Linked DNA regions of Drosophila melanogaster. The protein of the gene in region 2 interacts with the protein of the main gene of each other region in a pairwise test. Each region holds a gene or a part of one and is shown on either strand. Other genes may lie near its edges.

Evidence for each region.
Region 1: the proteins of Trx2 (region 2) and NO66 interact in a two-hybrid assay, tested with the Drosophila melanogaster proteins (one large-scale study listed by BioGRID).
Region 3: the proteins of Trx2 (region 2) and Eip63E interact in a two-hybrid assay, tested with the Drosophila melanogaster proteins (one large-scale study listed by BioGRID).

The regions. Positions count from the first base shown.
Region 1 is NC_004354.4:4,317,597-4,327,599, reverse strand, and holds NO66 (nucleolar protein 66), read right to left. Parts: upstream 8,163-10,003; 5' UTR 8,097-8,162; intron 8,035-8,096; exon of another isoform or gene 8,031-8,034; 5' UTR 7,973-8,030; coding exon 6,011-7,972; 3' UTR 5,855-6,010; downstream 1-5,854. Other genes in the region: CG12693 (uncharacterized protein), read left to right, coding at 42-309; mRpL33 (mitochondrial ribosomal protein L33), read left to right, coding at 5,469-5,509, 5,566-5,669, 5,733-5,782; mei-9 (meiotic 9), read left to right, coding at 9,545-9,747, 9,806-9,967. UniProt on the Drosophila melanogaster protein: Oxygenase that can act as both a histone lysine demethylase and a ribosomal histidine hydroxylase. Specifically demethylates 'Lys-4' (H3K4me) and 'Lys-36' (H3K36me) of histone H3, thereby playing a central role in histone code.
Region 2 is NT_033779.5:9,608,521-9,619,373, reverse strand, and holds Trx2 (thioredoxin 2), read right to left. Parts: upstream 6,209-10,853; 5' UTR 5,999-6,208; intron 5,961-5,998; exon of another isoform or gene 5,942-5,960; 5' UTR 5,858-5,941; coding exon 5,834-5,857; intron 4,073-5,833; coding exon 3,926-4,072; intron 3,843-3,925; coding exon 3,693-3,842; 3' UTR 2,970-3,692; downstream 1-2,969. Other genes in the region: GlcAT-S (glucuronyltransferase S), read right to left, coding at 1,534-2,044; gcm2, read right to left, coding at 6,839-7,812, 7,872-7,962, 8,028-8,772, 10,466-10,476. UniProt on the Drosophila melanogaster protein: Participates in various redox reactions through the reversible oxidation of its active center dithiol to a disulfide and catalyzes dithiol-disulfide exchange reactions. As a reducing substrate of peroxiredoxin 1, thioredoxin 2 is preferred over thioredoxin 1.
Region 3 is NT_037436.4:3,512,392-3,522,406, reverse strand, and holds the start of Eip63E (Ecdysone-induced protein 63E), read right to left. Parts: upstream 6,657-10,015; 5' UTR 6,473-6,656; exon of another isoform or gene 5,879-6,472; 5' UTR 5,634-5,878; coding exon 5,579-5,633; intron 1-5,578. Other genes in the region: ImpE2 (Ecdysone-inducible gene E2), read left to right, coding at 9,805-10,015.

The DNA.
Region 1 (10,003 bases), on a different chromosome or scaffold from region 2:
GTTCTCACTAAAATCGTTTGTTAAAAAACGTTTTCCAACAGAAGGTACCGGGAGACGTTGAGCCAAACCGGACTGGAAGTCGAACTGCAGAAGGAGGTTTCGAGTCTGAAGGAGAAAATGAGCTTTACTCGCCGGCTGATCTTATACATGGCTGCCGTCAAATGGCAGTCTTTCCGTTCTTGCATATACCACGTGGTGGCCGGAATACTCGATTGTGTGGCGCCATCGTTCACCACACCCCCAATGAAGGACAATTTACTCCGAATAGGCATGGTCGCCATCTTTTTGCTAAATGCTAGAATGTATTGATTTGGCTGAAGGATGCGAAAAGGACTCTGGCTACGCATCCAGGGACGTGCAACGACGAATGAGAAGCGTATTAACTAGGAATCAGGTAGCTGAGCAACACAATACCACAAATTTTATGCGTATATTAGATATATTTCATCTTTAATGTGCCCACGGTTTTTCCTAAACGAAAAACAAATTTCGAATAAATTTTGTACCAGTCTTAAACTTTACATTTTTTCTTATTTCCTTTTTGCTTTAAAATAAAACTAAAGCGAAATAAACTCATAACGTGCATGTCCAAATCCCATTTTTTCCAACTCACTTGATTGCAACATCCGAATGTGACGACTGTCCCCACACATTATAGTTTCGTTGCGGCGGACCGCAAAATACACAATTCATTCTAATTTCGAAATGGTATTCAAACACGATTGACAGTTTGGTAGTGAATAGCCAATAGCCTGCCAGAATGTTATGACTGTTTGTATTTGGTCAATAAAATACCCATTACTTTTGCACACAGCAATGTGCTTTCTCCTCTACTTTGAACTGTAGACTGTAACTCTGCATTAAGTACTTGGGGATTAATTTGTTTCAATAATTAGTAGCCTAACACTGAAATGGTCTTGTATTTAATTAATAAACACTGATCAAGTAGCTACTGACGATATGTTCATTGGACACAAAGAGTGTCGAGTAAATATGATACAAAGTGCGGAAAAGCTTTACAAAAATTACGCATACGCCGTGTGCTCACTTCGAATATTGGCATTCATTGGAGGGCCCAATGTCATCCGAATTACGGAATCGCTGGCTCAACTCAAGCGAGGTGAACTGAGTCGACGTAGGCACAAAGGCCTTAACTCGATAAATGCATAATACAATGCGAACCATAATTGTGGCAATGGGTATGAAAGTGCGAATGGCAATGGTGTTCATTGTATGTATGTATGTATGTACGTATGTATATTGTATCATCCAAATGGATATGCCAAATGGAGCACGGAGACTCGACGTTGGACGGACACTTTTATTAACAAACTAATCTGCAATTAGGAATGTAATTCAGCCCGCTGATATTTTCGCCTACTCATCGACGAATATAAAACTACGAATACCAAACAAACCAAACACCTGCACTCTGCACCCGGGCTTCTATATATAGGCACAAAACAAAGCGATGTTTTTTTTTTTTAGGCACAAATGAAGGGCGAAAACTCCAACGTTTTATCTTCGCATTGGTAATCCTCGGCGATTTTTGATAATTTACGATAATTCAAGATTATTTACTGCATACAAGACCATAAATTGTTACCAAGCAATTTCCATATGAGAGATAACAATACATATTTCCGGAACTGGGAATATGCATATGCACTATCTATTACAAAATGAGGCATGTGCTTGGCCGCCCTTTCAAATCCCTTATAATGCCTGCGACTTAATAATGTAGTCTCTGGGGAATAATAAATATTTTAAAAGCAAGCGATGACTCAGTGAACTTGCAAATGAACTTAAGATACCCCGAAATATGAATGTCATGACTAAGAACTTTTTAATTCACAATATAATCTAAAATCAAACATGTCATTTTGTATGCTACTTCAGTTTATTTTGCAATAGCAAACAGTTGCATCCTTTTTCTCTCAGTGTCCTGATCATAGTTCGTGTTGGCTTGTGTGTTTAACTTACGTAGATATGTATTTAATTAATTGGCTTCGGCTTTTGTTGTTCCTGCTTTTGCTACCTATTTTTGTTTGTTATTCTTGTTTATTTATATTTGTTTGTTTTTTCCCGCCTTGCGAATTTCAGTTTGAAGAGCATTGCAAGATTTACAGTTTGATCAGTCGGCTGTCGCACTCTCTCGCTCTCTCCACGTTTCCTTAAGTTTACTCACAACAGGTAACACTGTATTTGGTTGCACTTGTTTTTTTTATTTTTTGTATTTCAGCTCACAGCCACTGCAAAAAATATGCGATTGCTGTGAAAATGTACACACATAAAAAAAAGAAAAAGAAATAGAACAGGTAATAATAATACAATGGGTAAACATGCGGCAAACAAAACCGAAACTGACACCAAAACGAAACACGTTGCCGTTTCGCTCTCTCTCCGTGCCGTGTTCCCTTGTTTATCGCGGATTATATTATGCGAGCGGACTAACGGGAAAAGCTCCGGCGGACGACCACTGACCAACTGAGAACGGAGAGCCAGCAACGGAGAACTTTTATCTCAAGTACAGTGGGGCCTTTTTGTGCAGACGGATAAGTGCTGATTTAAATAATTAATCTGCATATGAATATATTGAACAAACTAAACTGCTCTATAAATGCTATGAAACTAAACAGTACACATTGATGACTATCCACTTTTATGGCCAGCTATATACGTGCGACGAATGACTACTGTACCGGCGCTCTCTGCTGCTCTTGCCCGCTCTTTCTGCGTGGGTGATGATCGTGCGAGAGAGCAAGTGCAAATATGATTATTGTTCCTTCGCCTGCCGTTCTCCTCTCCATTTCTTCCGCCCCATCATGCAGCCACACACCAATACCTATGGTGCGTTTGTGTGGGTGCGATGAGTGTGCGACGGCGTTCGCTTTAACGGTTTGTTTGTTATTTTATTATTATAGCTTTATTGCACAATCCCAGGCCACCCACCGCCCACTGGCACGCCCCCTTTCGCTCGGTTGCAGTTCAAACAAACAAAAGGAAATGAGGGAGAAGCATAATAAAGCTTCTGATCGCCACACTTGCCACAAAAAGTAAGCTACGTAGAACTACAGTAGAGCTTGAATAATGCACATTTGCAGCTTGGGCGAGAGATGGAAAATATGAGTATTTGCTAATTAACACCTACAAAATTAAAAAGAAAAAAAATGATAAAGCTAAATGGGAATTGGATGATTTAAAGTATTTGCGGCTCAATTTTTTTAAATTTGTTTTGTTTATCGGTCGTAAATCATTATTTTTTTTATTTTGAAATAACAGTGTCGAATAACTCAGTGATTTTACACTAAAGTTTAAATATTTTAAACTCTTAAATTTTTCGAGTAAAATATTGTATTGTTAACAGAAAAGTGAGCGTTTATAAAAAAATATCAATCTTACAAGCGATTCATGAATATGTTGTACCATGTCTTTTGTTTCTTTCAGTGCACAGTGGCTGCGTGGACGTCGACAGAGGGCAAAACAAGTGGCCGTCGTTAGTGCGAGCGAGACGCGGCGACCAAGTGCGGATGGGTGCGAGCGAGAGGGCTGGCGGACTGGCAAATTGTTGTTTGCTCTGCCGACGTCGTTTTTTGCGTGTGTAAATTTGAATACTTCAATTTTATGTGTGCTTTTCCCTCCCCACCACATATCCACACCATCCTAACAACAACAACCAGCACCTTGTGTTCGTGTTTGCGTCGGCGTGCGCGCAAGTAAATTTCTTCTAATTTAATATTTTGTTTATATTATTTATTCATATACTTATGTATTTGCGTAGCCCCTCCCACAACTAACCCTCCTTCGAGCACTTGTTTGTTTATGTATTTCACCTGCTCCTGCTCCGCTCCAGCCCACGTTTCGACCATTTCTTGCCCCTCGTCACGGCCAAGTTTACGTTTTTGGTAAATCATTTACAATTTGGATTTCCGATCGCTTTTCGAAAACCCCCTCTCGAAATATCAACAATCAAGCACTTTGCCAGATGCACAGAAAGAAACTGATGTGATTTCAATGGCTTACTAGCTGTTCGATATTTGATTAAGTTGATGTCTCTAAAGAAGGAAAACGTTTTCCACAACTTTTCTTCTTAAACTCGGAAAGCGATCTGCATGCAATCGAAAACTTTTACTGCAGTCTTTCATTCGTACAAATGCGCTACGAAAATAATTTAACAACTTACACATGGATCACATTACCACTTTTATCAATGAGTAATTGTAAATATTTGTTGAAAGCTATTTGAATTTTTGCCGTTAGTTTTTAGTGATTTATGTACTTAGGAACACACTGAATTCCAATGTGCAATTCCGGCAAATTGGCTACTAAGCGGGCTTTAAAAACTAATTTCGCTTCTGCAACCCTCAAAACAGAGAACTTTTGAATATGCAAATGCAAATCAACAAAAAACAAAAAAACGTATTTTTCGCAATCTGCCTCCTACCTTAGATTCTCCGCAGCTCCTCTCCACCTCCTTTTCACGCTCTTGTCTCTCTTTTGAAGCTTCCTTCGCGTTCGCGTTTGTTTGACTTTGATTCCGTTTGGTTGGTTTGTTTGTTGTTGCCACTCTTTGGCTGTTTCTGTTTTTATGTTGTTATCTCTTTCTTGTCAGCTTCTCTGCACTTTCAAAAAACAAACACTGTAAAAAAAAAATGAGTCTTGTTTACCACGCGCGAGTATGGGAAATTCTCGGGAAACCAACTCGTAAAAAAAATATTTAAAAGGGAAAACAAGAGCAGGGCAAGGCGAAAAGGAGTTACAGAAAGCGCGTGTGGCTGTGATTTATTTTATTATACGGTTTCGCCCACAAAGGACTTCACTGAGCTTTTAGTGCGTCTATGTTTTTCGTTCTATTTTTCCAAGGCTTCAGTTTTTTTACACGGAATTTTGACCGTTTTGTTTTTCGTTTGTTTTTATTTGTTGTCTGTTGTTGTTGGTTTCCGCAGCACAAATGAAAATTCGCGTCCGTTTCGCACGAGTGTTAGTGATGTAAAAAAGCATCGAATGCATTGACCACCGATGTTTCTCGACGATACATTTCAGTGCTTGCGCTTGGTATCGATTGGCTTCTGTTAACCTCAGTGGCACAGCTTGCAGTCTCTAGCACGGACTCAAACCTGTATGTTAACTTTTTAATATTTAATTGGCAGGGACTTCAACCAAAGATACATATGTGAATGACTTCTACTAACCACATTGCATCTGAGAGCTTTTTAGCAATTTCGAAAGGAAGGCTTTAAAACAGAGAGACATAAATGCATCAAATATAAATATAGTAATATTAAATATATACTCATCATACGTGGACACCGATTGTTTTTCAAAATATCCGGGTGAAAAGCTTGAGCCCTCGGGTGGTAATCGATAGGCGCAGTCAGCTGTTCTTCGTTCCTATCGTCTTGCTTGCACAATAATTTCAGCGGCATATTTCCATAATTCACTGCATTTTCCCCATTTACCGAATCAAAATGCGTCTAACTAACGTTTTGTTCAAAAAGGTGAAGAGCAAGTGAGTAATTTGGACATCCAATTTGTTCTTTTTGTTAAAACCAACCGTTTTTACAGGCGCATCATGGTCGTACTGGAAAGTGTGGTCAGTGGACATCAGTTTAATGCTTTTCGCGATCGCTTGGCCGACAAATTGGAGATAATACGCTTCGATCCGTACAGTGAGTGCCGGCCATCACTGACTTTATGCATATGCACTGATGTTGCCCATGTTTCTTTTTCAGTTCAACAGGAAAGCCTTTATCGTGAACGCAAGAAAATCCGCAGCGCCTAAGATAACCATTTTTTGTTAGTGAAAAAAATAAAATTTACAACTATTGGAAACACCAAAAAACAACCGAGATATATGTGCGAATGTGGGTGCTTTATTTTCGGCAGAATAGGAGCATTATAAATCTGGTTACATATTTATACAAAAATATTAATTTACGCTCGTTTTAGATACACATTCGCATCGATACTTAATTCTAATTATCAACAGCAACTCGCTTTCGATTGCCGTCTACTTAAACGGCTTCTCGGTCATAAGAAGACCATGCTCCCACAGGGCGGTGGCGACCTCTATCTTGCGAGCTGAAGACTCCAATGGCAACTGATCAATGGTGAGGTAAAATGGATAGGCCGATATGAGGAGCTCAACGGCTTTAGCTTCCTCTGGCAGAATCTCCATGAAATAGGGCTCGTACTTGCAGTAATCCAGGCCATTGTCCACATGGTGGTAGATACGCACGCTGCCATCGGACTCGGTCACCAGACGCAGAATGTTGGCACGCAGCAGGCGCACGGATGTCTTTTTATTGAATTTGTAATCGCAGACGCAGTTGCCCTGCTCATCGGCATCACTGCGTGCCCCATGAACAGTGCGCACCTCCTCCGAGGGCAATACGATCGGCGGAAGTGCCTCGTGCTGGAACTTCTTGGCCATCTGGTCGACGGCCTCATCAATATCATCTTCGGAGGGCATCAAGTAATTGGTCACCAGCTTCTGCACATTCTCCACCAGCTGTTTGCGCGACCCGCAGTCATTTCCCTTGTAGGCATTGCCCAAAACTTGAAAAGTGTGCAGCGGCAAGCCGCGACGCAAGGCCACACTCCGATCGACGGCCTTCTTAAGAACCATGGGCATTAGTGTCTCTAGAAGATTGGCATATGCCTGCTGTTGGTAAACACTCAAGGTAATGTGCAGCGAGTGCTGTTGCTCTTCGGTGATGGCCTGGTGAACAGCGCCTCTCGGGAAATATAGTACATCGCCGGCGCTTAGTACCTCATCAATTATGGGCTTACCCAGCTGCTCTTGATCATAGTTGCCCGACGAGATCCTGGCCAGTTGATCGGCCTTCTTGGGCGGCTCGTACAAAAGCCAGCGCTTGCGTCCCTCCACTTGGATAACGAAAGCCTCGATGTCATCGTAATGGGGCGCAAAGCCCTGGCTATTGGGTGGGGTTAGGTATAGATTTGCCCCCACCTTGCAGTGAAAGAACTCCTGCAAAACGGTGCACACCTGACGCAAGCGAATTAGATAGGTGGAAGGATTCAGTAAACGAATGCTGCAGCCGTCCGAATAGAAGCCCCACACAGCTGGTGGCAAGGCACGACCCTCGGGATTCAGTGTCTCACGCTTGCCGTTCTTGTAAGTGGTCACATCCACGTTGACGGTGAAGTCCAAATGATGGCGAATCAGTATTTCGTCAAGCATCTTGAATGATATCATACTTTGAAAGTATTTGGGATTAGAGCGCTGCACCAGGCAGGCGGTGTGCTCCCAGAAGTCTTTGAAGAAGACTTTAGTTTGGACCGGAAAGAGTATCCACTGCAGGACGCGACGACCCTCTTCGACGCTGTCGGCTTTGTGAGTTTCTATTGTTTCAGTCTCCTTTTCGTCATTGTTATTATTGCCCTCTTCGGTGGGTTCCGCCTTAATTATTTTAACTAATGAGTTCACGGCTGCTGGGTCCTTTTTGGGCGGCTGAGGACAGGAATTGGCCTCCCCTGGGGGCAGCGATTTGCGCACCAAAGGGCAGGCTAAAGCCGCGCCATTAACCTGGATCGGCGAGGTGCGCTCCAGTCCCAGACTACGTGCTTGCTTGCGTTTGGTGGCCCTGGCTCCTTGAGTAGCTTCCGATTCCTTGGTCAACTTACCGGCTTTTCCGGTATCATTATTGTTGGCATCCGCCTCGGCCTGAAGACGTCGCTTGCGATCTGCGGTCTTAGCGGCTGCGGCTGACCCTGACTGGGTCTTTTTGGATGTTGATGGACCGGCGTCATCGTCGAATAATTTAGAGAAAAAGGCATGCACCTCTTGGTCCTTGGTTACGGCGAGCATATCAGATACCGAATTGGAATCATTCGATTCTTTATCTAGATTGGGCTTCTTCTTGTCTTTAGCTGTGCCGTTATTTGCGTTTTTCTGCATTTTGCTGTTGCCTTGAGACTTGGCGGCCGCGGAAGTAGTCGCCTTTTTCATTTTGCAGCTTTTTTAAACGACACTAGGTCTTAATCCTTAAAGTCTTAAACACTCACGCCTGGCTGTAGACACGTACTTATGAGCTTGACTAGTAGCAGAATGATATTGCTTTTTTTACACATACCTGTATTCAAAACGTTCCTGCACGTGCCTACTGTTACAACTATTATTCGCGCCGGGTTATCGATGATTTCTGCGAGCTGCCGTATCGATGGCATGGGGTAAGTGGATTATAAGGTATGTCTCTATGTTTTTACAAAAATCGCTTGCTGTATCTAAACAATTGCGCTAAATGAGCAAATTTAAGAAAACTTTTAACTGAATTAGAGACAAAATTGCCGTATCGATGGCATGGGGTAAGTGGATTATAAGGTATGTCTCTATGTTTTTACAAAAATCGCTTGCTGTATCTAAACAATTGCGCTAAATGAGCAAATTTATTAAAACTTTTAACTGAATTAGAGACAAAATATTGCCGTATCGATGGCATGGGGTAAGTGGATTATAAGGTATGTCTCTATGTTTTTACAAACATCGCTTGCTGAATCTAAACAATTGCGCTAAATGAGCAAATTTATTAAAACTTTTAACTGAATTAGAGACAAAATATTGCCGTATCGATGGCATGTGGTAAGTGGATTATAAGGTATGTCTCTATGTTTTTACAAAAATCGCTTGCTGTATCTAAACAATTGCGCTAAATGAGCAAATTTAAGAAAACTTTTAACTGAATTAGAGACAAAATTGCCGTATCGATGGCATGGGGTAAGTGGATTATAAGGTATGTCTCTATGTTTTTACAAAAATCGCTTGCTGTATCTAAACAATTGCGCTAAATGAGCAAATTTATTAAAACTTTTAACTGAATTAGAGACAAAATATTGCCGTATCGATGGCATGGGGTAAGTGGATTATAAGGTATGTCTCTATGTTTTTACAAACATCGCTTGCTGAATCTAAACAATTGCGCTAAATGAGCAAATTTATTAAAACTTTTAACTGAATTAGAGACAAAATATTGCCGTATCGATGGCATGTGGTAAGTGGATTATAAGGTATGTCTCTATGTTTTTACAAAAATCGCTTGCTGTATCTAAACAATTGCGCTAAATGAGCAAATTTAAGAAAACTTTTAACTGAATTTGAGACAAAATTGCCGTATCGATGGCATGGGGTAAGTGGATTTTAAGGTATGTCTCTATGTTTTTACAAAAATCGCTTGCTGTATCTAAACAATTGCGCTAAATGAGCAAATTTAATAAAACTTTTAACTGAATTAGAGACAAAATATTGCCGTATCGATGGCATGGGGTAAGTGGATTATAAGGTATGTCTCTATGTTTTTACAAAAATCGCTTGCTGTATCTAAACAATTGCGCTAAATGAGCAAATTTAATAAAACTTTTAACTGAATTAGAGACAAAAAAAAAAGTTTTCATATATATTAACCTTTTGTTCTCTAACCATATCGCGGTAGTCTGGCAGCCCTGTCACAACCGGTACCGATAACCACGACCAGCTGATTGAACCGGCATATTTGCGAAATTAAATCCTTAGCGATTGTATTTAATTATGGCCGATTCGTGCGCGGAAAATGCCGCCAAAGGGACGGAAAATGAGCGGCCGAAGGAAGTGGAGGCCAGCGCCGACACCGTCCCACAGGTGGAGGAGGGCGTAGAGGAGTATTTGAAGCGTAAGAACATGGTCCTCCTCGACTACGAAAAGCAAATGTTTCTCGATTTGGTCGAGGCCGATGGTCTGCTGGTTTGCGCCAAGTAAGTCGTGTGTGCTATTCCTATAGTCCAGTCTAACCCAGATATTGAAATACCATAGGGGCCTGAGCTACGACCGCGTTGTAATCAGCATCCTCAAGGCCTACAGCGATTCCGGCAATCTTGTGCTTGTGATCAACAGTTCTGACTGGGAGGAGCAGTATTACAAGTCCAAAATCGAACCCAAATATGTCCACGAAGTGGCCAGCACGGCCACCGAAAGGTAAGCGCTCGCAATTCCTAAAAAATATACATATAA
Region 2 (10,853 bases):
ATTCGATGGCAATTTGCTACGGTAGCATGCTTAAAGGTGCACATTCAAAGTCGAGCAACAATACCTTGTATAAAGGAGGGGGCGGGGGGTCGTGACAGATAGCACTCGACACGCGCAATTGAAAAGATACTGAAATCGACTCGAAACAGATGAGCAGAATTTGTATTGCACGAGAGCTAGACGAATTATAAATATATATTCATATTATTCAGGCTCACCATAATATGGTACAACAAAAGCGATTGCCATACCCATAGACCCCCTGTACCCCTAGTTATACAAGATGTTGATAAGATTGGGGCGATGTGTGAATTATACTCATGAAATGAGAGGCAAAAAACTGCTAAAAGCTTTTTTTCTTTGCAGAACTGAGCACTGCGCAATCTAGAATCTGGGAAATTGTGGGGAAATGTGCAATTAGACAATTGGTGCCACTCAAATCGCGCACTTGATTTGGATTTTCTTGACTAAATCAACCGTTGATTCGAGCAACAAATTCCGTAGATGAAGATAGATTCATGATTATTTTTTGTGTTTTTTTGTTTCGGCCAGCCCGATCATTGATCGCAAACTTGAATGGTCCACCTTATTGCATATTAGCCTTGAATCTGGATTGCCGCATTTTCGTTCTGCAAATTCAGCTGTATTTCGAGAACTTTATTAGCCAATAAACTCGTGAATAAATAACTAAAACATAGGCTGCAGATACAAAACAAATCTGTTACCTAAAATCGAAAAGGTTTGTCTGATTAGATTAAACCAGTAGGTTTAAAGTGGTCAAAACAGATTAACCTTTTTATGGGCCATTCAATAAAAATGCAAAGTAAACTGGAAAATTTGACCTTGTTCCGGCTTTCGCTCATTGCAATAAAAAACGGCCAACAGGCGAATCGATGTAATTGCCGCTGCATGCGCTTGTGGGTGGGCTACTTCCATATATTATATATATATATATATGTACATCGCGTTTGGCGAAGACAATAGTTACCAAATAGATCCAATTACGGTTAAATAATAAAAAGCCCAACCTGACTCACTAGTAGCCAAAGTCGGAACAGCGACGAGCCGACGCGTTTCACGCGATAATTACCGCATCCAATAACTTAGAAGTGAAGTGGTGCAGTCACATCGACTTATGTATGTATGTATAATGCTTCGATATCACGTGAGTATTATAAATAATAAATAAACTTTTTTCGGATACTATAGTTTTTTTCAGTCTGTATTGCCACTCAGTTGGCAAAGCGCTTTAACTGCTCAAATGTTCTTAGCTCTCTCTTCTTTCGTTAAAAAAAAAAGAACAAAATAACATAACAGGTAAAATTTGTTTTCTAATTCAAACAAACGTAGGGCGTTCACTAAAGTCCCCCACAAAACGTAGGGTGAACTAGGCTTTGATTGGCAGTGGGCCAAAATGAAAAGTGAAAGTGGTGGCAGAGTGGCCAATTCACTTTCGGCCAGCAGTCGTGAAAGAGCGCCGCCAACTGCATTTGCCCCCATGGGATGGAACTTTAGAGTACAAGCATGACTCACGGATTCTGGGATCGAAACGATGCCTATTTCGGATTTGCATTTGCTTGGTCGTTTGCTCTTCTATCTTGAAATTCCATTCATATTCGTAGATTTCTTGCGCTCTATGACTAAGATTCCCTGGGAACTCCTCTTCACCTGGATTCCGGTCATCCCCCTCGTGCTTGTCAGGTCGAGTATATCTCAACAGCCAGTCAGCCGGGCGGGATTCCATTACTGAGATCCGCTGCTTACCTAATCCATGGTGAGATCCCTCCTCCGAATCCTCGGAGCCACCGAGGCGAGTGTCCCCGCTGAGGGTGAGGTAGCAGAGGGCGACGAGGAGCAGGAACAGTGCCCCACCTATCAGGCAGATCCTCCTGGCCACACCCCCCTTCCTGACCATGGGATGTGGTGGATGGGTGGGGGTGGTGTTGTTGCTGCAGCTGCGTGAATGGCTCTGGTGAGGCCGCCGCTCGATGTCCTCGTTATCCTCGTCGGATGTCTGCGACTCGAGTAGCCTGGCACTAGACATTTATTGAAATATTTTGGGATACGATGGTGTAGGCGCTTTCAGCTGGGGTGGTGGTGGTGGCGATGGTTGTGGTGTTGGTGGACGCGGTGGAGCTGCCACAACATTCCCCGTCCATTTGTGGTGAGCCGGGCGTACCTCCTGGTTTTCGCAATCTTATTATACAACTTTCTAGCTGCGACCGACCACCCGAAAATTATGCAAATTGCCTCGACATCTCTGCACTTTGGGTGCTCCCCGTGCTCCGATTTATTTCCGTGCGCGCTGGTTGCTATAAAAAACCATCCAATGGCGAACTTTTGGCCGCAGCAATGCCGCGAATTACGAGGCGGAAGCACTCAAAACAGGACGTCACACTCAAAAATCACAGAAAATATTGCTTATTTCTGACCGACACCCGCGCGACTGTCTCTCACTCTCACGCTCTATTTTATTGTTTTCCACAGCGATGCAATTTCCCGACGTGTTGTTGTCACCGAGAGTCTGACACTACTGAAAAAAAAACACTACTGAAAAATCGGGCAATTTTCGCTCCCACCACCAACACAGCTGGCGCAGTGTTGCATTCGGTTTTTGTCCCCACTAAGCCAAGTATCGATTGTTCGTCCAAGCCTAACGGCTTATTTTCAAATGTTTAAAATAAATGTTGAATTAATTAAAAATAGTTTCTTAATTAATCACTTTGTTTTTATATTGTCTCCCATTTACTTTCGTTCTTTAACTTTATGGCAAGAATCAACTTGGCAACTTTCGATATGCTGTCAAACATAATTTGGACAAATTTAAATCTTTTGATATTATTGATCGCAAGAAAGGTACCTTTTACCTTATTTTCATTTTCAAATAAGTTCATTTATTTATTAAATTTTTTAATAATGCCTAGTGATATTCTATAGTTCAATCACGGATTCAAGGAAATATATAATTTGTTTTTGAATTTCGTTGTCAATATACATATGTAAAAATATATTTTTTGACAGATAAAAAGAGCCTTCTCAAAATGGAAATTTTAAAATTAGCTTTAATCTGGTGGATTTTAATTATGAAATGGCCATTTTGATCACGCACTTGATATGCCTTTGGAGTATACAAATTTGTTGCCGTATCTTATCTAATCGGTAGTTACCCGGTTTTAATCGTTATTACTTAACCGTAACGACATTTGTCTGCTTGTTGGCTACTGATATTTGACTTGGCTTTCATTTCACAACTTTATGTGTCATTCCTAGATCCGACCTCACCCCAGGTTCCCCTTCAGAATTTTGCAAAACAATTTAATCGGTTACAAACGGCGAGTGTGTAATACATTTATTGTTTAGCGTATTCTCTTGGACAACTGGCTACAACTGCGTTTTCTAATGTTTTTCATACAAAAATGAACAATCTTTGTGTGATTTATTGATTTTGTTAACAAAGCAAATTTTACGTTTAAAAGCCACTTAGTTTCTCACGTTTGTTGCTGTTCCAACTGCTGCCACTGCTGACCTTCACCTTGCGAACTGCACTGCAGCTCTAAGGGATTCAAGGACAAGGCGGAGCAGGCGGAATGGAGCAAAACCCTGCACTTATGGAATTAATTAATTAACTAAATGTTATGAAGAAAACTCATAGGTGGATCAGGGGGACGGCCAGACGTCTATGCGCTGCCCACTTAGATATTGGCCTTGATGACATCCTCCAGACGCTTGGCGTTGGCTCCGGCGAACTCTTCGACCTTGACGCCGTTCTTGAGGAACACGAAGGTGGGCATGCTGGAGATGTTGTATTCCATTGCAATGTCTTCGCATTCGTCCACATCGACCTGTAGGAGAAGGGCATTTAGTAAGGATTTCCATAAAAAGTGTTAAGCAAATAAAATAAAGCTGAGCACATTTTTAGATTTACCTTCAGGACGACGACGTTGTCGGCGAACTGCGTGGAAAGCTCAACCAGTTTGGGCGAGATCATCTTGCAGGGTCCGCACCAAGTGGCGAAGAAATCCAGCACCACCAGCTTGCCGGATGCCTTGGTCAGCTGTCCATCGAGATCGGCCTGCAAATGAAAATGTAAATTAGTACTATCTCTGAGTAATATCATCATACATTAGCGCTAATAATTTCCCACTCCCTAGAGATGTTTCAGTAATTTTCCCTTTAGCAGGTGGTGGTCATGTTTTCAAACTTTATGATTTCCGATTGTGGAGCATTGATCCGGTGCTATTGTAAATATACATATTGCGTTGGGGAGGCCCCGCTACTATCTCGCCCGATAAGCCTGTTCCCTGCAAACACAACGTTGTCAGACATCCCCAAAGTTGCCAAGCTGTAATCAGCCCCAATAATCGCCGATTGACGGGTTAAATATGTGTGTGTGCTTCATAAACTTGTGAAATCGGGTCAATTTCATTTCAGTTTCTGTATTGCACCCATTGGGCAGCAAAGCAAATCAATATTTAAAGAATTTCCAAATTATATGTATGTATGCCGAAAGGTGTGGCGGTCGTGGGCAGTTCCATCCCCTTTCTTCCACCCATTTCTCTGCCCGTGACACGTTTTCCCAATGACCTTTAATTAATTGCTAGCGATGCCAATCGCAGAACAGCACATGCAAGCACAGAGCTCTAATGAAATTGACGATTTCAATTGGAATGGGCAACCGGTTTGGAGGAATTTGCATAAGTATATGCCCAAGAAATTTAACTTTATACACGCTATTTTTGCTAGCACAAAACCACTTGATCATCCCTATTACATATTTTAATCAGGCTTAGATCATTTCTATTGCAGACACATACGTCATGGAATGATTAATCTCAAGATGGTGATGGTACTCGATGACTGTTGGCTACAATTCAATTTGTCAACATGTATTGCTGACTCATTTTTTAAGACAATATCTGAGTAAACATAAAAAACTAAAATCAGTAGTTAAACTACTTTGTTATATTGTCTAATTCAGTATGCATAAATGTTTTGATGTTTTCGTGGATTCCTTATGCCTTCGATAAGCATTTTTTGATTTTTGAGCTTATTGTTGTGTGGTTTGCTGTATAGAACTAGACCGCGAGAGTCAATGTTTGATAGTGTTTAAGTGTGTATACAAATATAAATAAACTAATATTGAGAAATAAAATAAGAAGGCATGCTTTCACGTATTTACTTCCCAATATTTCCTGACGTAACTTTGTATTCATGAAATGGAACCGGTTCTTCACCCCGCGCACTCGCGTCTTTTGTTTTCTTGGCTTTGGATCAACTTGCATGGCGCGCAACTTATGTGTGGAGAGCACACCCTGTGCTATAGCAACTATTCGAAATATTTCTAACCAAAAAACCAGGCCTCGACCACGATAATGAATTGCAAATTCATGCCAGTCGCACACACATCCGTACATATGTGGTTTCTATAGTACGTATATCTTGTTCGCACTATTTCCGATTAGCTCGGTCCGGAATATTTCAATTTCAAAATTCGGTTTCCGTTGAGACCCGTTTTGCGGTCCACGGGATGATATCATTATCATTTCGCTGTGCTGCTATTCGGAACTTTCTCGTTTGCTCTCCGCTTTCTCGCTCGTCTAGACCGAACGTGAGTTCCTTCTATTCGCGGGAGAGCGTATGGCAAAAAGCGTAGCGAATCCAATCATTCAAAGTAAGTGGCTAATTGGAATGCCGCTTCCAATGCCATATTTTCAAAGTCCGGAGCGAAAAAATAAACGTGTAACTGGAACTGAGGGGTCAAAGGGTAGCGCTATCGAGTTACCCAATAGATGACGGATGTGATGCGTCCATAGATCCGGTTGAAGTGACTCACCTTATCTTTCACCTGGTACACCATGTTGGATGGGAGATGTGGAGACGGAACCGGTAGAAATGTACAAAAGTTACTTAATTACCACTCGGGCAGCTCTTTGCAGCACAGCTAAATTTTTTACCAAAATGAGCACGTCGCAGTTGCTTTTATAGATTTTTTACTCACGCTCACGCTTCTCATTGCTATACGCTCTCTTTTTGCATATGTGTATGTCGCGTTTGGTGAAGGTGAATTTCGAATGGATAGACCGATTGGCACATCTATGCGATAGGTTTTGCTGGCCACTATGCGATTACTTTAAATGTGAAATCCTCTTGCTGAAGATAGCGATTATAACTTGTAGTACTATTCTCTTTAGTCTGGTTATGTCTGTGTGTCTGTGTCTGTGTGTCATTGTGAGTTTATCGTAAAGCAACTCTGCAGTAGTTCAGTTTCTTACCGGTAGGAGGCTTTTTAAAAAAAAACTGCAAGCCATGTAAGCGGTACAAAATTTGGGTCTTGGCAGCCAATTTGTTTTTCTTTAAATGTTTCCGCCAATTATAAAACATCATTCGTATTAAAGTATATCTTACTATCTATCGATTTTAAACTACAAATCATTAAATGCGTCCTAAAATTACTACAGTTATGGTTAAGTGAGCACCTGCTTGTCTACATTACATGGTTTTTACCATTACATTTTACATGGTTCTTACCAACAATTTTTTTACAGCGCGACATCTATCTCTGATTTCAAGAACCGCACCATCATGACCGCTGAAAATTAGCTATGTTTGAATTGGTCGCGCAATAAGAAATTATATTTACGCACTTAAATTAAATACATTTACTTTTACAAATCAACACTTTTCATAATTTATTTGCCGAGAAAAACAATTGGTAAACCGTTTAACACTACACGTACAGATGGAAATTAAGATTTCACCACTATTTTAAACACTATGTTACTATGCTTAGCTATCGACTATGAGTAATCCTCCGGTGTCCGGATTGGTTAAGTACTATTCAATGGGTGACCGATGGGGCTAGGCCTGTAGCTGCTGCTGGGTGGTGCAAGTGGTGGTGATGGTGATGGTGGTACGTCAGCGTGGGCGGTGGTGGTGGAGGCGGTGGATGGCCAGGGGGCGCGGCCACTGTCGGCGCAGTGGATCCTCCGGCAGTGGCAAATCCACCTGCTACCGCCATTTGTTGCTCGTAGCTGGTGTAGTGATCGTAGTAGCCGCCGTATCCGACTTCCAGGCCATTTCCGGTTGCAGTATTTCCTGGTGCCGTAGTAGTTCCTGTGTCGAAATAGCTGACTCCATTATAGCCACTACTGCTCTCGTAGTAGTGATGTCCCGCTGTCTGATTTCCACCGAACTGTTGGTGGCTCTGCTGCTGCTGGTGGTGGTGCTGTTGCATTTCGTACTCCGCCTTGGGGCTATAGTAGTAATCGTAGTTGTCCTCCACATACGGCTGCGTCTCCACGGTGGCATTGTACTTAATGGTGGGTCCCGGTTCGGCCTTGCAGCTGATCTCCTCCTGACCACCGCCACCACCCAAATGCTTGATCTGCGAGTAGTTGATGAACTCCGGTTCCGGAGTGGCCAGTTGCGGGCTGGAATCATAGGCTACTGCCTGGCATTGTGTGTGTCCGTGCACGGGAACACCCATCGCAAAGCTGTTCCCGCTGGAGGATTGCTGGTATGCGGCCAGTTCCGAAATGCTGCAGGCGTAGGGCAAACTGGGAGATTTACTAGGTGCCGCGGTGGCCGCCGCTGGAGTTGCATGGTAGATGGGATAGTTATAGGTGATGTGCTGGTGGTTGACCGTAAACACATTAGCTGCCGTCTCGCAGGGTGCCGATGACTCGGATCCACTTAGTGGCCAAGAATTGGTGCCGTAATTCGAGGATTGTGACAACTGATGGCTCCTCGCCGTGGTGCTGTCATCCAGGTAGCTGCAAGTGCAGTGGCTATAACCGGCGCACTTGCCACAGGCTAATGGGGGATACAAATTGTAAAAGAAATCTTTAAATATTCTTGTTTTATATACCTACCATTATACTGATATATATCCAATGCGGTGTGAGCCAGAGGATTGCTGACAGCAGGACGCTTAAGAACCTTGCTAATCAGACTGTGTTGTTGCTGTCGTCAGAGAAGAATGGTTAAGATGATACATCCCGGGTGAATGAATGTCTATCTAAGCTCACCTTCGCCTGCTTGACCAGACCCGCAATGACCGACTTCTTGGCGACTGATCCGTTGGCTGACTTTCCAGCCAGCGGCACACGTCCAAAGGCCCGCTTGGAAACACTGGAGTTCTTCGGATCCGGACGCAGGTGATCATGCACTCCCTTGGCCTGAAAAAAGATGGCATTGCCGGAGTGCCGCCAGAAGTGGGTCACCGGATAGCCGCAGTGACCGCGACACGGTTTAATCTCTAGTCTACCGCCACGACAACTTTTGTTGGGACACGCCTTGCCCTCCTGCTTCCGCCGGGCTTTGTCGCAAATGGCTGGGCGCAGGTTGATCTTGGATCCGTTGGGCAGGGTGCAGTGTTGGGAGCAGACCAGGACGCCCAGGCAGCTCTTCTTCAGAATGTTCACGTTGTGGTTGTTCGTGTTGCGCATGGCCCAGCCGGAAATGTGCTTCTTGGCCTCCTCGTTGTGCAGCGAATAGATGTGCCTCACATGCCCGTCGCTCCACTCGTTGAACTCGTCGAACTCCTGGTCCGGCACATGTGGCACAATGGCATCATTGATGTCCCACTCCCGTTTTCCCTTGCCCGTCGACGACGACGGCATGGTCATGGAGCCACCCGCCTGCTGTTGACCAGGACTTGGACCCGGATGCACCGAATGCGTACTCTGACTTTGGGGCTGGACAAACTGGGTAAGCTGAGAATGATCGGGTTGCTGTGTGAGAAGTTGCTGCGTCTTGAAGCTGTAGCCATTTCTGTAGAGGATTTTATATATAATAAGTTGCATTTTATATTCATAGTTAAGAATACTATATTATTATATTTGAATTTTGCCAAAGAGCACAAAACATACTTTAACTTGAGTTCAGATTTTTATATCACTTCTAGTAGCCACATAATAAAAAAACACCACTGCCCTTTTGGAATCTAAGTTAAGGCAAAACTGTGAGTCACAGCATTAACTTTTAAATCGAATTTATTTACATTAAAACTCTTTACATCGAGTAAAAACTTTAAGTGATCCATTTAACTGTGACTTTATCGCCAAAGCCTAAGCATCGTTTAAGGAATTGAAATCCTATCTTAATTGCGCCCTAAACTGTTTCGTAGGGGGCCATCCCAACCCAACACAAACCAATCAAATGAAACGTTTGCCAGGTTTATGGGCCTCATGAAACGCATGGTTATTTAGGCCCAGTTTAGAGGGCTGGTACCGTTAGCCCCAAATCTTGTGCACCAGGTAATCCAAGCTGGCCACAATCGTAATTCGAGCGCCAGTTGAGGAGGCGGAGATGCATATTAAACCGACACTCCGATCGTGAGTCAGCTGGGAATCGCTAGACTCGATGGAGGGCCTCAGCCGAGATTCTCCATGTGTGGGAGTTATTAGAGAGCGAGCTCTGCAATTAGCAATAAATTTGTCTTCCATCGATTTCGAAGCCGATGGATCGATTCGCCTCGGTCCCCTGAGTGTTTTTATGTGTACTTGGAAGTCAGCAGGTTGCACAGCATCTAGCACCAAGAACCACACACCAAATACCTGTGCTACGGTTCGCCTGGTGGTCTTTGGTTTCCCCCGATTGAACCTGTTCGTGGCTAGTGGCTCGCTTTGTTTTGGGTCCGTAAATTGACTGCTCGACACTTCGGGGCGCTCGTTAGTTGGGCTTATCTGATGCTGATAGCGTCTCACTTCGTTCGAGATCTGTATTTTTGGGCCTCCTCTGTCCAGGGCTCATAATAAGTTTGTCACCTAGAAAATATGTCTCTATAAATCGAAGGGGCCGGGGGGGCATCATCATCATCATCGGCTCTTTGACCCTTTCACTCGAGCGCCGCTCCGCCTACGACTGTGTGTGGTCCGCCGGTTTCCAAGATTCGAGATCCCCCTTCCGAAATCCAACATCCAAAATACGAGGCACACCCCGCGGCTCTTTGGAGCGGATTGGACTGGACCGGAGTGCCATTAACTAAGCTGTGGAACGCGCTCAGCGTGATAATAAAGCGTTTGAAATCATTTACATTTTCCCTGACCTCCCCCGCTGCCTCTTTATCGTTTGATTTGTGGCCCATTCTTCATCCGAGATTGATCTGAGGTGTTTGGAAGCTCAACACTTACGCAGATGGCTTGGGTTTAACGCGTGTCGGCACAGTTCAGATCAGCAATAATTTGAAACATTTGTACTGAGAGCTTTTTAATTCTTCGGTAGCTCTATGCCTTGAATAATGTGAGCAAATTAATTTTTAATCCATATTCCTTTGGGTTCCAAGCAGAATAATTTAGAAACTTAGTGAAACCTATTTTAAGCATATTTCAATAATTACCATTATATTTGATAAAAGGTTCGAGAACAAAGTATATGATTATTGTCCTATTAAAAGTATTTTTTGGCAATAAAATTTCGAATTTACATTTGAAAATCTCCGAAAAAGGGACTATTTAGAACTTACATAACAACCATATTCCAATTGAAGCAGCTTCTTTAATCCAGGTATTAGGTGGTATAATTAAAAATATCCAATAAAACCTCAACTGCTCCTAAATGAGTTTTCCGCGATTCGAAAGCCCTGCGAACAGGCAACACTTGAGCATTGTAATCCAATTAGGCGACACTTGTATCCACTGGGCACTTGTATCTCGCGGATAGCCGTCGCTAGTTGAAGCTCCTCGGAACGGATTGGATTGGATTGAACTGAATTGCGCACGCGACGCCGACGATGGGAAACAACCGTGAGAATGACGACCTTTTCGCTGAACCTCGAATACAACCTGCAGGGCGGGATGTGCGCGCGTATCTGGCAGATACGAAAAACAAAAGAGCAGCAGCGGCAGCAGCAG
Region 3 (10,015 bases), on a different chromosome or scaffold from region 2:
GATGCGTGTTCCGCTGCGGTTGGCACTTCAAACCGTCATAGATGTTGGACATGGGTCCTTCGAAGGGTCGTTGGGGGTCAAGGGGTTGGTGGACGACTGTGCCCCCTTACAGTGGTCAGAGTTGATTGAAATTTCGGTTTTCATTATGGGATTTGCGGTGAAAGAATCTCCAACGGGCAAGAAGTCAATAGAAAATAGTGTGAAATAAAGTTCAAGGAGCGATTGGAGGGGTTTTTAAAACTGCAGCCAAACTACGAAGTGAACAAGAAATTTGGTAGTAATTTGAAAAGTGTTTAATCGATATTGCCCAATCGATACAAGTTTAATTAGTCGCAGGAGATGTGCACATGCAATTGGCAACTGCAGCTTCTTCCGAAGGTGGAATAAATCAATCAGTGTCCCTGGCAGGTGATCAAATAAATTACATTTCTCAATTATTGCGGGGAAGCCGTAACGGAGACAAAGGCTATAAACCACTTTCGAGTCAGAGCCATAGTAATTGCCATGAGCGAGCAGATTTTCCGGACCATTTGCTGGCTGTGCGTCAATGGCGAATGGCTAACTTAATTTGCAAAATATGCAAAACTTAATAATAAATACGAAATTTTGGTACGCCGCGCATTGCAATCGATTCGCCACTCAAACGGATTGCAATGGAAATGAAAAAATGCATAAGGAAGCACAAACAAAACCGAATTGCGAGTTTCCCATTTTGGCTCAACGATTTTTCCTCTTTATTTCCTTTATTTTTTTTCGGTTTTTTTTTTTTTTTGGAAATTGTGCTCGATGACAGGCAAAACGAGGCGAGCGACAATTAAAAGCGAAATAAAAACAAAAATTGAGAGAAATTGTTAGGCGATGATGTCCGAGATGATTCCGCACGATACGTCACAGAACATTCGGCGTTATTCGAGTGGAAACTGTGCTTCACCTAATGAGAGGGGGTATGCCCCTCAAAAAAAAGGGGGTACGGTCTGTGAATTCCTTGGGTTGGAGATCTTGGATCTATAAGTGTGAGTCATGCTCACGAAATTCGTGATATGGAACCAGGTTTCGGTCACTGGATAGGAATGCAGCATCGGAAATTTAACCTAAGTTATATAGTTTGTTCAATATTCGTATGCATATTTTTTTAATTTACCTATTCGAACAATATTAGAAAGAACTAAGGTACTTTAAGTACCAGTCACGTTTCCATCACTAATCGGAAGGACTCGAGCAGCAACAAACCGACTGAAAGCAAACAAATTTTATGCGACCACGCGCCATTTGATTTCCCTCAAAAAAAGGGCGAAAACCAACGATGTAAAGTTAAGTGGAAATTCAAATGGAAATACTTGAAGCAGTTGCATCGACCAGTTTATCAAAAAGATGCTCCCGAAAGATTTCGCCCCCTCGAGTTATGCATTTCTTTCTAATGAACTCCGGGCCTTTCAGCGCTTTCTTCAGTTCCATTTCTTTTATATTTTTCTTTTATTTTTTTTGGCTCTTTCGAGCAATGAAAATCGTAATGAAGCGGGGAACATTAAACAGAACGCCAGAATGGACGCAGACGATTTTGGAATGGGTTGAGGTGAATTTTATGCGCGTAATTAGCAGCAATTAGGGCGGCGGGGGCGGATATTCAATATTCGGTAAACAGAGCTTAACATGGACTTCGGGCCATTCATTAAAGTCTGACAGCAAATTACACTTTTTTCCCTGCGTTCGCCTTCTTGTTGTATCTGTTTTTTTTTTTTTATTCACACGCCTCGAATGGCATTTGCGAAATGCAAATTACGCTAAGCAAATTAGCGCGGAAGCACCAAAGTGCAAAGAAAAGAAAAAAATACAAAATATAAAAAATAAAAAATAGGAAAAGAGCAGGGAAACTTAAGTGAGGTGTGCGCCAGGGAAATTCAAGACAAATTAGCTGGGAAGTTGAGAAGATACATACGTGTGTAAAATATAATGCACCATGCGGGTGCACAATGCCAAATGAGCTGCGAACTTTGGTGCAAGTAAGGAAACTAAATACCCTGAGTGGTTATAATTATGGAAATTTATTCTGGTGACTCACTTAACCAGGAAAGAAAGTGGTAGAGGTCATGGAATGCCTTATATGTGGTAAAAGATATTATTTTCGTGAAATATAATACAATTTTTCGAGTTACTTGTGGTTCAAAAGTCTCGTACTTATCCCACCAAAAGTGCAACAATGCACTTTTAAAGCATTCCGATGGTCTTGAGCTGGGTTAACTTCTTGACACCTTCAAGTCGTTACAATTAAATGTGAAATATAACCGGGGCGCAGGCTGTGCACTCGCAGCCTCTGAAGGCCCAGTTAAGTTGTTAGAATGCACAATAAACTCATTCATAAGTCTGGCGTAAAGTCTCACAGCAATTTAGCCAAAGTCTTCACACCGCAACTGACTCGCCCACAAATCAAATTGCAATCCCCAAGAGCCGGCGCGAAAACAGAGCTGGGTTGAGTGTGCCTGGGTTACATTGATGCACTCAAAGAAAATATTACAAGTAGGTATCTAGAAAATTATGATGTTTTAAGTGTTGCACAACGAATTCGGAAAGCTTAAATCAAAATCAACTAAGCAAACGTGGTATGTAGTAATCAGGTAGCCAGTAATATCTATCATATTAATATTAAATAGCGTACAACTTGATTGGGTTTAACACTATTAAGTTAATACATTTAAAGTTAATTTTCCTTTATTTTAGGAGTGTTGTGTGGGGCAACAGGAAGCGCGCTGAGCAAAGCGACACCTGGCCGCTTCGCTCATGACAAACTGCCACTCCAGGCGTGGCTGGGAAAGCGCTGGGAAAGCGACAGGAGTCGGTGGGCAATTGAAAAATGACGCCTGCCCAGCCGGTGGAAATGCATTCGGCAAATGAAGCCGGCCCAGAAGCACGTGAAGCGAGCAAACAAGACACAAAAAGGGAGCATCGGCAGCTGTGGGAATTCAGTTTGAATGCGACCGATATGTCAATATGCCAACTGCTGTTTGAGTTTATTTTTTTCCGCTTTTCTCCATTTGTTGCCCACTATGGTTTATTAGCGATCCACTAATTGCAAAAATTTGCTTCGCATTTATCCGACGAGCCAACGACAAATAAAAAGGCCAGCATAGAGCACGCGTGTGTGGTTTTGCTGCTTTGTGATTAAATATTTGAATATTAAAAAAAAACCACGCTGTTATCAGCGATTTGGGCGCTCGGTTACCTGAATGCTGAAAAAAACTATAGAGCATTTCGTGTTGACCCTCAGCTGTAGACACTAATTGAAAATGGCAACTGGGTTGGAGAAATGTGTAAAAAAACATGATGTTTGTTTATTTTATTTGCCATGGGTAAAGTTGCATTTGCCGCGATAAGCAGCAAAATCACAACTGATAAAAGAAATAAGAGTCAAATGAATAAACAGAAAAATGTTATGTAAATAGTAATCAGATAAGGGAAAGAGTGAGCTGATAAAGAAGTGTTTCCTTACTCCAGTTGATGATAACTTAATAAAGGGGGATATATGAGAAGAAACTACATTTCATACTCACGAATACATAGTATTGAATAATAAATATTTGAACAAGATTCGTTGCTAGAGTGCAGTGTATTTAAAAATGCATTTTATTGTTGTCAGGTATACTCTAAATATTTACGATCACTTGTGCATACCTACATACGTATTGATTAAATTAAGTGAAAATTCCAAAGTCCATGTAATATGTGAACCACTCAAATGAATCATGTTTCCCGCTGTGTCAACTGGCTTATCAAAGTTTTGCCTTTTGTTTTAGTTGATAAGAAATAACACAGAAAATGACTCTCAAAATGAGAATGTTGGGATAAAAATGGCAACCTAAAATTGGCAATGGTATCTAAGCAAAAACAAAACAAAAAAACTCAGAAAGAACAGCGAGTTAGATTTTTTGGCCAAGTTTTATGAACGAAAACCGTTAAACGGCAACCGTTAGCTTTGATTTAATTAGAAGATTTTTGTGGGCTTGCTACAGTTTATCAAGCCCCAAAGACAACACACGATTTCAGCATCAAACTGTGGCCATGGAGGGGATTTGGGCTCTGCAGTGGCTGGACTGATTCGTATGCTTCTCTCACTGGCTCTTAAAGCAGGTTTTCCATTTGGCCTTTGGCATAAGCCCCGCACTGAACTACTCGAGTGCCCAGCAAAAGCCGCACAAGTCGCTCTCTGTGTGTGTTTGGCTTTGTGTGCCAGTGTTTGGGGCACACAAATATGAATAAAGGCTACAGTGGATGCTCGCGAAGCGAAACAAAGAACATTGGTGGAGTGCCAACACTATGACATACCATTTATTCAACTAAAAGGAGTGCCACTGTTATCGGGATTGCACACGAGCTCCACCTAGCGGCGTTAACAATTACTGCTCGCAATAACTTAATAATGAAAAGTTTTTTTAATTAAGTAGCTCACCATACCCGATGACCACTGTTCAAGGTGTAGTAAAACATCGGGCAACGAGAAATATGCATGATTTTGTAGCTGCCGTTGTTTTTGTGATTATTCCTCTCTTTTTTGCGGCTGCTGCGTGTAAAATCAATAAATTCGAGCGGGTTCAAGAGGTGACGACAACGTCGAAAATGCCTATGACCTTCAGGCCCCTAGCTGACCTTCGCCATGGCCCCATACCCCCTTGTTGCCCCCCGCATGCTACCATTTTCCGCCTTGGCAATTAAATTTCGTATGTAATTTTTTACACTTTTTTTTTGCTGGCCGGCACTTCTTAATTATCGTTGTTAAGCTGGTTATGGTTTGTTTTGCTTTTGCTGCTTTGTGCCTCGCTTTTTGTTCAAATTTATTCCCCGCGACCAGTGGCATTCATTAATTTCTTGCCTTATTCGCTGCCCTCGCTTCGCTCTTTTGGTTATTGATATTAATAAAACTTTTCTTCTTTCCTCAGCCCAAAAAGAAGTCCAAAAACAAATCGGCCAGCAATCGTGGTTGCTCAACAAGTTACGTCAGATGCGTTGGTGGGGATTGCTGTTTCAGGGTTTTTTGCCCGGATCCCGGAATACAAAACAAAAGATTAAGCTTTTGAGGGATTAGGATTACGGCCTTGTGTACCGGGCAAACAAATGTGCAAGTCTTTGGAAAAGCGCAGATAAGCGGGCGAATTATGGAATTTTACTTGTTTTTTTTTTTAATTTCTCTGCCGCCATCTGGAGATGAAAGAACCTTAATGAAAAACCTTCCAAACATTTAAAGATATTGTATGTTTATTTCCATAGTTTTATGGCTCTTCTTAAAACCTAACCTTCCTTTAATTGCCTTTAAATGTCAGTCTTTCTTAGCCAAAGGTTATACTAATATCTAGGTCGACCAACTAACTTTAGTTTAATTACACAGAGTGGCATTGACCGGAAACCTGCAATTTAAATTGTTCGTTCGCCTTGAACTTTAACCGACTTGTCGTTTGTATGTGCACCCTTGCATCTGTGCTTCAGTTTTTTGTGGGTCACCATTTACTGTTTCTTTTTAAAGATTTTTAAGGGTTTTACTTCTTGTGATATATTTTCTTTAATCTTAAATCCTTTTAAGTATATAACTCACCATCTTTAGCATTTGTTGCCCCCGTTGTTGTTGTTGTTGTGGTGGTGGTGGCCATAGTTTTAGTTTTTGATTTTATTGTTGCTGGTGTTGTGCAGGCAGAGGCCTCTGCCGACGCCGACGTCGCTGCTCTGTAGAAAGCCGATGTTGTTGTTGCCGATGTGGATGTGGTTAGTTTTGTTGTTGTTGCTTCCACGGCGCCAGCAGCTGACAAACTTCGCGAGCAGTGTATTAGTCACCTGTTCTTTACAGGTGCAAGAAGTAGGGGGTGGCAACTGGATGGGCTTTGTATGCGTATGTCAGCTGATAGGGGGGAAAAACGCGAGATTTGTTAATCAGCGTGGAAAAAGGCGAGGATGGGGTTTTCCAGGTGTTCCGTAACCAGGAAGTGCACAAAAATTAAAACAACAAGAATTAAAAGTCATGAAGCTAGTTTTGGTTATCTTGGTAAGAATCGACTTTATTTGCGGGTTTCATTCATTTAGCAAGTATTTGGAATTTATTTTAGTAGGGATTTTGTTTTTTTGATCCATTGTCCACCATTAAGGTTTTAAGTTAACTTTCGTTACTTTTAGATATCAAATCTATATATTGATATTTTGGGCACTCTGCTGCTTCTCTAATTTTGGTTCACTTAAGTGGCCAAGACTTTCTATTTAATATTTTTGCTTAGCACACAAGCAGCTGCCTTAATTTATAATTGAATTTATCAAATTTATTTCTGTTATTATTTCGCTTGCTCTTTTGTTTTTATTTTATTTTTGTTGCATGTGCGTCGGTGTTTATGCATGTGTGCGCGCGTGTGTGTGTGTGTGTGTGCGTGCTTATGCGAGAGTTGGTGCACTGTGTGTTTGTTGTTGTTGCTAGTGACGCGTACGCGTGTTTTCTCGCTCGCACCTGCACGTTTTCACTGGCTCGATTAGTTGCCGCACGCTGCTAACGGCCGCTGCACATGTTTTCGGTAATTTTACGCGATTATTTGTTTAGTTTCTTGTGCAATTTCACAGTTGTTTTTTGACGGCGACTCGCGGAGCGAGCACGAATTTGGTCACACCACATCGCCAGTGTGGCCAGGCAGGGGTCAGCGCCAAAAAATCAGGCGGCGCAGCTGAGAAATACCAAAACATATGACTTTGCAGAAAATACTGCTAACTTTTAACAGCACGCAAGTAACAGAATTCTGTTAAAAAAAAATAATTGTATTGACTTAAGTTCTACAAGAACAATACTAATTTCTCTAAATTTCAAGAAACAATGCGGTTCCTCTAGCCTTTTAATCGGAACGGTAAAGCAACTAGCTAGAGATCTTATAGAAACTAACAAGTTAAAATCCAAGGTTAACAGTACATTAAAATACAACTATCCGGCAACGTCAAAGTCATCTTTTCCACTTTCTGGCAGCCTGCTTTCAAAGTTTTTAAAACAATGAAATAACTGAATTCTCATATTGCACTTTAAAGAAATGTGGATTGCAACTGAGGGCAAATAACAATAATATAAAATTGTTCCTTCATTTTTGTTTTGTTAATATATAAAAATATCATGTTATTTGACAGAATGTTTTTTATAGTTTTAATACAACATTTTCTTGAGTTCTTTAATATTTTTGAATTCAACGTTTTTATTACGACTCCAAACCTATTTAACAGCCAACATAAATATTAAAGCCACTGAAAATTTTTCTAAGGCTAAACTCTCTTTTTTCTATATTTTTCTCGAAGTTCAAAAGGGATAACTGACCTTGGCAGAAATTCGTTTACAATTATTCACTATTGTTTTAGACCCAATAAACATTTTTTTACAATTTGACAACAAATTTGTGACCTTGACAAGAAAATATGACACCAATATTTCGGCAACAACAATCGGCTTAGGTTGATAAGTGAGGTAATTTTGGATGACGAAGATCGCCTGACTCTCCCACTCGCTCCCAGTTTTTTTTTTTTTTTTTTCTGACATTTTGTTGCTGTTTTTGTCACCCAATTTGCACGGGTATTTATTTGTTTTTTGATTTTTTTTTTAGTATTCCGCACGGCTGTTGAGTGAAAGTTGCCACCGTTTAGAGTAATGTGTGTTGTTGTTGCTGCTGCCACGCCCACTGCCCGCCCGCCTTATCGTCACCTGTCGCTGGATGTGAGTGAGGTGCTAATTCGACAGTCAATTGTGTAAAAAAGAGTACGGCTAGCAATTGCATAATATCAAAGCTAAAAACCGAAACTCGAGCAAAAATATTTTGGGCGCCAGAGATCAGAGAAAAAGAAGGCGATTAACCAACTCCAAGAAAAGCCATAAAAATCGACAGAACCGAAATGAGTTTTTTTTTTTGTTTGTAACTCGGGGGGAAACGTGTTCTTCCCATTGCCGAAATCAATTTTGTTGCAGAATTAAAAGCCACAAGCTGGGGTCATAAAATATCTGAAAGAGATCAGTTGTGAGATCCCAGAGTTTCAAGTCAATGTCCTTTGCAATCCACTTCGATCTTTGATTGCTCTTGATGCCCTCAGAAAAGGTATACTAAAATAGTCAGGCGATTAGTTTTATATTTTTAACTTTAATAGCAATACTTGATAGCACTTCTTGTGGAATATTAACAATATGCAATAGTTCAACTTATATAAACTTATAACCCATATCAAGCTGTACCAGCCAAGAATCATTATAATTCCTCGAATTGAAGGGTATTGAAACGCTGTTTTTAAAAATCAGTGCTTCCTCGTTTTTTAGTTGAATTTCGTTCTTTTTTTTTATCATCTTTGGTTGTAAATCGTCTTGGCCCTTGCAGGTTTGGCCTGTTTGCAGACCTCTTGTTGGCCAAAAGGGCCACAGAACGAGTTCTGACCACCGCCGATCGAGCTGCAAATGGTTCAATCGATCGATCGATCGATCACCATATGAAAGTCCCAAGTGGACAGGAGATAAGTTTTCCTTCTATGCACAGCAACGTTTTCTCCATCAAACGTTTGACCCATTTAACTACATTTAAATGTTCTCATTTGCATAGAACACATTTGGAGCTTTGTTCGCCGGTCTTGTGGGCGTTTTGGTTTGGTTTCTGTGCATTTCTAATGAATTATTAACCCAGAACCGGGGGAAAACGCATCCCAGCGATGCATCTTCCCTGCAGAGACAGTCGGTCCAAAGCTAATTGACTCTAAAAATAGCCGGAGCAGGTTTCTCCGTCCAGTCTGCGTCTGCATCTCGACACTGCATTTAAGTCGGTCTGGGGAACGGGTTTCCATCGAAGACCAAAGATCCAATGAGCTCAAGATTCACCATCCAGTCAGCAGAACGGCCGATAGGGCCAAATGCGTTTCTTGTAGGAGCGTTTAGCCAAACAAGAAAACCAGTAAAATCTGCTGATCAAATGTCGCTGCCTGGAATCGAGTCAACAAGGAATGAGAGTGAAAAAGTGGAAAACCTGCGGAAAAGGGGGAGTTGCATGCACCAATCGATGATCAGGGAAGACTGCAACAGAGACTAATCGCTGCACAGTTGGTCAATGTGAGAAATTTTGTAACCTTTAAAAACATTTAGCAATTATCACAGCAATAGATTTTTTCACGGATGTTTAGCTTATCCCAAGATTATCTCAGTTCAGTAAAATTTAATAGTAATCACAGTTTTTAATCCTAAGACAACAAGATAGATAACTACAGTCCTAAACAAACAAGGAAAGTATTCAAAATCTTGAAATCAAAATCTTGAAAATCAAAAAAGTATTCAAATGAAAAAACCCTATTTTCTTTTTTCCCAAAATTAGTTTTTATTTTTTTATTTTCTTATTTATACTCCTATAAACTTATTTCTGCTATATGCCCTGAGTAAAACAAACACTGATGGCCGATAAAACAAACATGATTGATGATGGTCCCAGCCCTTTTCGCTGTCCCAACGTCTTGGCCAATTACAAGTGCAGCTTCGTGGCCAAAAAGGCTTCTGATTCTCGATTCCTGTGTGCAATGCAAGACCAACTTGGTCCAGTTCAATGACACTCAGTGTGCAAGAATTGGCCAAAGACGATGGCACTGATACTACCACTTTTCCCCAACCTCTTGCTCATACCTTAGCCCTGTGTGCTTGTTTGTCTGCCAACAAAGTCGACGGCGGCTGCGCAGCCGGTGGTTTGTATAAAATGCGATGGGCCTAAAGAAATTTCAAACAGTTGCGGCCGTGAGGCGCTAGTGAACACATCTTGAAATCGAAGGAGATATAGGAGATAAGTCGCGATAATGAAGCCCGTTGCCTTGATCCTGGTTTTCCTGGCCATTAGCCAAGCCAGAGTACTCAACTTGCCCAAGGAGGCGATCGATATTCCTGTGGCCATTGTCGAGGATAAGGAGCCACCAGTAGCTTTGTCTTTGGTCAAAGAGGAAGTTAAGGCAGAGGAAGTTAAGCCAGAGGAAGTGAAACCAATTGCTCAAGAAGAGAAAGCCAAGGATC